Linked DNA regions of Macaca fascicularis. The protein of the gene in region 1 purifies or fractionates together with the protein of each later gene. This does not show direct contact. Links are inferred from orthologs where the notes say so. Each region holds a gene or a part of one and is shown on either strand. Other genes may lie near its edges.

Region 1 (4,268 bases):
GCTCAGAGCAAAATAAAAATGCAGTGCCCTGTTTTTATAATTGTTAAGGATTTTAGGAGATGACAGAAGAGAATAAAACCCTGGGCATGGGACCCTGTGCAGCTGCACAGACTGCATACCTACGGAGCCAGCCCTGCATTTGATAGCCGTCAGATATAAAGGCTGACTTCTATTTATATATGCAGCTTTCAGTCAATTGCATGAATGTGTAAATTGCCAAAGAGAAATGTGATGGTCAGGTCTTTACTGTGAGTAAAGGACCAGGAACAGGACCAAAGTTTGAAAGGACTAAAGAAAGTCCCTTCTGACATTACAGCTCTATGTCTCTTGGTTATCTTCAGCCCATTCTCCCTTCAGTTCCTAAAGAAAACCGTAGGATAGAATTATATCCTATAACTATAGGTCATATAGGTAACAGGAGGATATGACTTATGTGATATATGTTCTGCTTGTAAAAATAATGTCAGGTATTTATCAGGGACTGCAGGGTGGGCCTTCTTCCTCTCCTAGATGAAGAACTGAGGTTCAGAGAGCTAATTATGGACGAGGCAGCTGGGATCCAAGTTCTTCATCACTCTTGTCCGCTGCCTGTCTCATAGGATTCCAGTTGATCCTGCAAGACAAGAGTAGCTTACAAAGGGTTTGCATATACCTTAATCTCATATCTCATTCCCAGTAGCACCCTTGTGAAATTGGCAGTGTTATCCCCAATTTACACACAAGGAAACAGAACTTCAGAGAAGTTGTGTCATGTTGCAAGGTCTTAAGATAGCAAATGGCAGAGCTAAAACTAAAGTCTGCTTTTTAAGTCATGAGTTCAGCCATGTTTTCTCTGCTCCCTACTTTGGGGACCCAGCTACTTCCCCTACATATGCCATTCCTTTTCCATCTAACTCTATTGGTTTAATTCTTTTCCAGTAGACTTTGTTTAACAGATGTTGCATTTCCCAAAGGAAAAGTGAATCTCCTCTACACTCTAAATAGCTAAAAGAATTATTGATGAAAGGACTTCAATTCCCTATAGAATTTTAGTTCTAGAAGCATATCTGAATAATGTAGGGGTTTACTTGAGTGAAGTTAGAGGTAATTGAGGAAGTGGAGGAGGAAGCTGTCAAGAGTCAAAGTTCTTTCAAAGATGACTCCAACTTCTACAATTGACCTTGTTAGAAACAAGAAAATGAGGCCTAGCTATTGGGCCAGGACAGCTCAGGAATTACATGTTCCACTGGGAGAGGTTTCCTGTACCTGTGTGACTATGAAATGCTACAGCTTACTTTCATGCATATGGCTGGTGTGACTCAGTTACTTATTTTAATAAGAGAGTTGATTTCCTTTGTTTATAGGCTGACAGTGAAAAACAGAATGATAGTTCGACTTAAGAATGAGGGCTTGTTCTCAGTACAGAAACAGAAGTAGCCTAGATCAAGAAGTACAGACCACTGCTTTGTACAATGGTCTCCAAACTTTGGTCACTTCATCAGGAAATAGTATGAGCACTTCTCTCCATACATAGTTATTTGCAAAGTATGCATGCTTCTGCTATTGTACTCTAAAACGTGCTGTATAAAATATATACAAAAAGGTCCAAAAAATGAGAAAAAGTAAATAGAAATAGGAAGTCTAATATTCTTTTTGCCTCCCCAGTGAATTGTCTTGTTCACTTCACTTTAGAAAACACTGCTTTCTGTGTTTTTGTTTTTGGGTTTTTTTGAGACAGTCTTTCTCTGTCACCAAGGCTGGAGTGCAGTGGTGCAGTCTCGGCTCACTGCAGTCTCTGCCTACTCAGTTCAAGTGATTTTCCTGCCTCAGCCTCCTGAGTAGCTGGGATTACAAGTGTGCACCACCACGCCCAGCTAATTTTTGTATTTTTAGTAGAGATGGGGTTTTGCCGTGTTGGCCAGGCTGGTCTCACTCTCCTGACCTGAAGTAATCCACCTGCCTCAGCCTCTCAAACTGCTGGGATTACAGGAATGAGCCACCACACCCAGCCAGAAAACACTGCTTTCTAAAGAATATGCATCTAGCCAGAACTTTGTGTTTTGACATTTTCAATTAAAAATGAAATTATAATTATATACCTGACATTAACTTAATGATCATCATTTTCTTTCATACAGCCTTTATCAATTCTAAAAAACTATTTTCTTTCATCTAAGTCACAATCAGTTGGGAATTTATTAAAATGCAAATTAATGGGCCCCACCAGAGAGCTACAAAATAAGAAATTCCTGTGGGAGGAGCCCATACAGCCTGTGTTTTTAACTAGCCTGTGTTTTTAACCAGATGATTGTGATGTACGCTTAAGTTTTAGAACCCCCATCTGTGGCCTGTTGCTATGGTATGCACCTGTAGTCCTGGCTACTTAGGTGGCTGAGGTGGGAAGATAGCTTAAGCCAGGAGTTTGAGACCAACCTGGGCAACATAGTTAGACCCCACCTGGGTGATTAGGTCAATTGAATCTGACTTTTGTCGACAAATTCATCTAATATGTTTTTTTTTTAATGCACAAAATGTCAAAGTTGAGATTTAATGATGCCTTTTACAATTTCAGGATTTACTTCAGATGCAGTATGAAGGAGTAGCTGTAATGAAAATGTTTGATAAGGTTAAAGTGAATGTAAACCTTCTCATATACCTGCTGAACAAGAAATTCTATGGAAAGTGAAGTGCCTGCAGAAATGTCATGGATTCTGTATCATCTGGATTAGGAAATGAATTTGTTTAATATTTTTGTTTTTAAACATGATTGAAATCACTGCTTATAAATGTGTGATTTTTTTTTTTTAATGACCAAAACTGTTCTGAAGAATGTACCCAGGTGCCTTTTTGCTAATCTGATACTATAATAGAATGAGACATAAAATGAATTAATGGAAACATATCCACGCTGTACTGTGGTATAGGTACTCTGATTGAAAACTTTGGACATCGTGTGATCTGTTTTAAAGTTGCGGGGTGGGGAATTTAGCTGACTAGGGACAAACATGTAAACCTATTTTCCTATGAAAACATTTTAAATGTCCCACTTGAATAATGTAATTCTTTATAGTTTTTTTTAATCTATGGATAAATGGAAACCTAATTGTAATGAATTATTTAGACAGTTTTAAGCCCTGTCTTCTGGGAGTTATCAATTTTAAAGAGAACTTTTGTGCAATTCAAATGAACTTTTTATAGGTAATTGAAAATGACAACACAATAACACTTTCTGTATAAAAGTATATATTTTATGTGATTTATTCCTACTAAATGAAAGTGCACTACTGCCTCATGTAAAGACTCTTGCACGCAGAGCCTTTAAATGACTAAGGAACAACATAGATAGTGAGCATAGTCCCCGCCTCCACCCCTCACAATTTATTTGAATACTTCAATTGTGCCTCTCAACTTTTTGTAATGCTAAAAAATCAGTATCTAGATGGTTTTTAAACGTATTATCTGGAAATTGTTTTATGTAAAATAAATGTTACTTAATTCCATTAATTTGGCTTTTAAGTTGTCTTAAAGTCATTTAGTGGGTAGGGGAAGATTCTTGGTAGGATTTGTCAGGAAATAATGCATTTCTTGCTGTACTGGTTAAAGTATAGAGCAAGCTGCTGTGAGGAAAAGATGCAAAACCCTGGTGTCTAAAACAAGGAGTAGAAGTTCGTTTTTCTCAAATTCAGCTCAAAGGTGAGCAGATCCACAAGGTAAAGAGTTTCAGGCAGGTCAGTTGGCTCTGTCCTCGTACTGATTCCCCCCAGCCGGATGAGGGAGAGGATGGTGAAGAAGTCCAGGGCAAGCCTTTTCAGTTATATGCATCACTTTCACTTCCACTTACATCATATTGGCCAAAACTGAGTCACATGGACACAGCTAGCTAAAGATAGTCCCTAACTAGGCAGCCATGTAGCCAGTGAATAGAGAGAGCTAGGGAGGGAATTGGGTCTGTTATTAAACGGAAGAAAAGGAGTGTGATTCCTGCCAACACTTTAGGAGTCTCCACCACAATAGGATTCCAGACGCTCAGGCCGGAACCTCCCTGCCACTTTGTTCATGCCTGCAACAGTCTTTATTTTTTCACAAATTGCAAAATATTGAGAAGGTAGGTTAGTTTATGCACATGTGGCACAAATGAACTTGAAGTGTAAGACCAACAGAATTTGGAAAATTCAAATTAAAAAAAGTAGAATCTGCTACTTTAGTGATGGTTTCAGGCTATATATATTTTTTGACAAAGAGATGAATAGCTTAAAACAATGCTCACTATCTCAACTGTTTGTGGGTAT
Region 2 (4,478 bases), on another chromosome or scaffold:
ATGGTTATTGCTGAATAAAGGTATGGTGTATGATTTTATTCTTCCTTATAGTTTTAGATTCTGAATTTCCTAAAAGGACCTAATGTCATTGCACATAGTTATTACATGAAGATAACGAAACGGGGGGTGGAAAGCAGTGCCCTCCGATGGCCCCGAGCAGGAGTTAGTGACAGGGAGCGTGGCTCCTGCAACCACAGTCCCTCTTTTTTTTTTTTAAGACGGACTCTCACTCTGTTTCCCAGGCTGGAGTGCAGTGGTACGATCTCGGCTCACTGCAACCTCTGCCTTCTGGGTTCAAGCGGTTCTCCTGTTTCAGCCTCCCAAGTAGTTGGGATTAAAGGTGCCTGCCACCACATCCGGTTAATTTTTGTATTTTTTATTTATTTATTTTTTGAGACGGAGTCTCGGTCGGTATCCCAGGCTGGAGTGTAGTGGCGCCATATCAGCTTGCTGCAACCTCCACCTCCTGGGTCCCGGTTCAAGCAATTCTCCTGCCTCAGCCTCCCGAGAAGCTGGGATTACAGGCACACGCCACCATGCCCAGCTACTTTTTTTATTTGTTATTTTTAGTAGAGATGGGGTTTCACCATGTTGGCCAGGCTGGTCTTGAACTCCTGACCTCGTGATCCACCTGTTTCAGTTTCCCAAAGTGCTGGGATTACAGGCGTGAGCCACCATTTTGTATTTTTTTTAGTAGAGATGGGGTTTCACCACGTTGATGAGACTGGTCTCGAACTCCTGAACTTGTGATCCACCCGCCTCGGCCTCCCAACCAAAGTGCTGAGATTACAGGCGAGAGGTGAGCCACGGCGCCCAGCCACCACAGGTTCCTTTTTTTTGAGACGGAGTCTGGCTCTGACTCCAGGCTAGAGTGTAGTGGCGCCCTCTCAGCTCACTGCAACCACCGCCTCCCAGGTTCAAGCAATTCTCCTGCCTCAGCTTCCTGAGTAGCTGGGACTACAGGTGCGCGCCTCCACGCCCGGCTAATTTTTGTATTTTTAGTACAGACGGGGTTTCACCATGTTGGCCAGGATGGTCTCAATCTCTTGACCTTGTGATCCTCCCTCCTCGGCCTCCCAAAGTGCTGGGATTACAGGCGTGAGCCACCGCGCCCGACTGACAGGTTCCTCTTAAAGCCTAAACCGTGAACCCCAGGGAAAGGACCTGCAGGTCCGGCCACGCCCAGGCCTCCTTAGCGCGCCAAGATGGCGGCCGCCGCGCCCCGCGGTCGGAGCCGAGCGGTCCCGAGCGCTTCCGAGCATTCCCGAAGTCCAGAGAAACTCCGGGAGCGGCGCGGGCGGGAGCGGCCCCGCCCGGAACCTGGGAGCGGCGACGCCGGCGCGGGGGAGGGGAGGCCGGATGTGAGTGGAGCGGCCATTTCCTGTTTCTCTGCAGTTTTCCTGAGCTTTGGGTGGTGGCCGCTGCCGGGCTTGAGCTTCCAGTCCGCGGAGGGCGAGGCGGCGTGGACAGCGGCCCCGGCACCCAGCGCCCCGCCGCCCTCAAGCCGCGCGCTCGTCCGCCGCGCCCCGAGCCCGCCGCTTCCTATCTCAGCGCCCTGCCGCCGCCGCCGCGGCCCAGCGAGCGGCCCAGATGCAGGCCATCAAGTGTGTGGTGGTGGGAGACGGGTGAGTGCGCGGCCGGGGCCGGACTGGGGACGGCGGGGTCGGGCGCGGGCGGGGGTCTGGCCCGGACTGAGACCCAGGCAGGCAGGCCGCTCGCTGCGGGCTCGCGTAGGCGGTGGGCCTGGGCCTGTATCGCGGGGCGGGGGCCGCGGGCTGGCGCCCCCACTGGACCCTGACTTCCCGGGCGGCGCGTGCCAGGTTCCGGCTCTGGATGGAGGAGGGCCTTGCCGCTCGCCGGCCGGAGGGAAAAGTGAACTCCACCCTCCGGCTTTCTTCCCGGACGCCGCCCGCCGCCCTCCTCGGGAGCGCTCGTAGAGGAAGCGCTCTTGGAGATTTTGACCATTTTTCCAAAAAGGGACTCTTTCTTGTTTTTTGCATGAACCTCTCAATTCGCCTTGAGAGCTGTGTTGGGAACGCGGCGGTCAAGTCGATATTTGATGCATGCTTGATTGTGCGGGCCTCTTTGGTGCCCCCAAACTTTTCTTTAGAAAAACATATTTTTTTTCATAGACCGGTTCTCGCTGTGTTGCACAGGCCGGTCTCGAACTCCTGGGTTCAGGCGATCCTCCCATCCCAGCCTCCCAGAAATGCTGGGATTACAGGCGTGTGCCACCACGCCTGGCTAATCTTTAAAACTTTTTGTAGAAATGGGGGTTGGGGGTCTCGCTGTGTTGTCCAGGCTGGTCTCGAATTGCTGCGCTCAAGTGATCCTCCTGCCTCTCAGCCTCCAAAAGTGCTGGGGTGACACCGCGCCCGGCTTCTAAACTTATTTTCGAGCAGGATTTTTCAACTTACACTTCTGCCACTGTTAGGATTCTTAAAATTGTTGTTTTCGCGTATTCCGTGGAGAAAGTTTTTAAGATGCTGGCTGGGAGGAGCCGGCTGTAAGGGGCACTGTTTTTTCTTTTCTTTCTTTCTTTCTTTTTTTTTTTTTTTTTTTTTTAACGTGGTGTGGTCATTGATAAACTGTTCTTTGCTTAACGCGTTAGGTATGGGATGTAGCAGAACTGGCCCCCTGTGACTCCAGGCATTGCTTTTCATGACTGTCTGTGGTGGTTACAGGCCCTGGAGGAAGACAAGACTTGTCTTATGCAGTTTTTTTCTCCCATAGAAACAAGAATCTCAGTGTAACCCAAGCAAAATCGCGCGTCTCAGCGTTGCTTGTATAGGTTAGTGTTAGCAAGGAAGAATTACTACCAGTTTAATAAAACTCAGTGCAACTGGTACATGTTCCAGTAAAGTCCAAGGCAAGCTCTGGCATCACGGTTAACTGGTTGATATTCTTCAAACTTGTCATTAGGACAGATTTTGGTTCTTGCAATTCAGATGCAAGAAGGATAATTAGACAACTGATTTTTGTAAGATGCCCATCTGTCATATTTGTCTTGGAAATGTGAAATAATATTAATGCCTCATAATTCTGTTTATATAATAACTAAAAATTCTAACTTTCACTTATTTAAGAGTATGTAGGCTATCCAAGGGTTTTTTTTTTTTTTTTTTTTTTTGAGACGGAATCTCATTCTATTGCCCAGGCTGGAGTGCAGTGGCACAATTGCGGCTCACTGCAACCTCCGCCTCCCAGGTTCAAGCGATCCTCCTGCCTCAGCCTCCCTAGTAGTTGGGATTATAGGCATGCGCCACCGTGCCAGGCTAATTTTTGTATTTTTTAGTAGAAACGGGGTTTCACCATGTTGGCCAGGCTGGTCTCGAACTCCTGACCTCAGGTGATCCACCCGCCTGGGCCTCCCAGAGTGTTGGGATTACAGGTGTGAGCCACCGCGCCCAGCCCAATTTTTTTTTTCTTTCTTTCTTTTTTTTTTTTTTTTGAGACAGGGTCTCACTCTGTTGCCCAGCCTGGAGTGCAATGGCGCTCTCTCTGTTCCTGCAACCTCTGCCTCCCGGGTTCAAGCAATTCTCATGCCTCAGCCTCCCAAGTACCTGGGATTACAGGCACACATCACCACACCCAGCTAATTTTATTTATTTATTTTTTATTTTTTTGGTAGAGATAGAGTTTCGCCATGTTGGCCAGGATGGTCTCAAACTCCTGACCTCAAGTGATCCCCCCGCCTCGGCCTGTTTTTTTTTTTTATAAGTCATATTGCTGATAATTATTTGAAAAATGCTGAAACTAAAACATAAGCATAGCAGATACGTTTATTTAATACTAACCGATTAAGGACCTCTGCCGTTTGAATTGGCTGTTTTATCTAGTCAGATAACTTGTCGAATGCCTATCCTGGAATCTGGACCCTCCCTTCAAATACCCACTCCACCGCTTACATGGGGTAACCCTAAGCACATCCCCCACCTCCCAGGAGAGGTGGTTCAGTGGGAGGTCAACAAGAGTAAACAAGATGTTGGTTAACTACTTTGCAGGTGCCCCTTGCTGAGTGCTTAGTAAGTGCCTGGTACTGTTACTGCGGTTTCTACTACAGAGGCTCTGTGAGGGAGTATTAGGTTTAAAAACCTGTGGCCTTGAGTTTTCAGTCTGTGTTTTTTTTTTTAATTAGTTATGAGCATTTGATCAAGCACAGTTTTGTTTTGTTTTTTTTGAGACAGAGTCTCGCTCTGTCGCCAGTTCTGGAGTGCAGTGGCGCAATCTTGGCTCACTGCAAGCTCCGCCTCCCGGGTTCACGCTGTTCTCCTGCCTCAGCCTCCCGAGTAGCTGGGACTACAGGCGCTCGCCACCACGCCCGGCTAATTTTTTTGTATTTTTAGTAGAGACGGGGTGTCACCGTGTTAACCAGGATGGTCTTGATCTCCTGACCTTGTGATCTGCCCGCCTCGGCCTCCAAAGTGCTGGGATTACAGGCTTGAGCCACCGTGCCTGGCCAAAGATGTATCTCTAAT

Evidence for each region.
Region 2: the proteins of IQGAP2 (region 1) and RAC1 purify together in Homo sapiens (affinity purification with mass spectrometry; 5 studies listed by BioGRID and IntAct, with this or other methods). This does not show direct contact. The link is inferred for Macaca fascicularis from reciprocal best matches to the Homo sapiens genes IQGAP2 and RAC1.

The regions. Positions count from the first base shown.
Region 1 is NC_088380.1:80,676,178-80,680,445, forward strand, and holds the end of IQGAP2 (ras GTPase-activating-like protein IQGAP2), read left to right. Parts: intron 1-2,551; coding exon 2,552-2,665; 3' UTR 2,666-3,483; downstream 3,484-4,268. UniProt on the Homo sapiens protein: Binds to activated CDC42 and RAC1 but does not seem to stimulate their GTPase activity. Associates with calmodulin.
Region 2 is NC_088377.1:45,992,053-45,996,530, reverse strand, and holds the start of RAC1 (ras-related C3 botulinum toxin substrate 1), read left to right. Parts: upstream 1-1,383; 5' UTR 1,384-1,590; coding exon 1,591-1,625; intron 1,626-4,478. UniProt on the Homo sapiens protein: Plasma membrane-associated small GTPase which cycles between active GTP-bound and inactive GDP-bound states.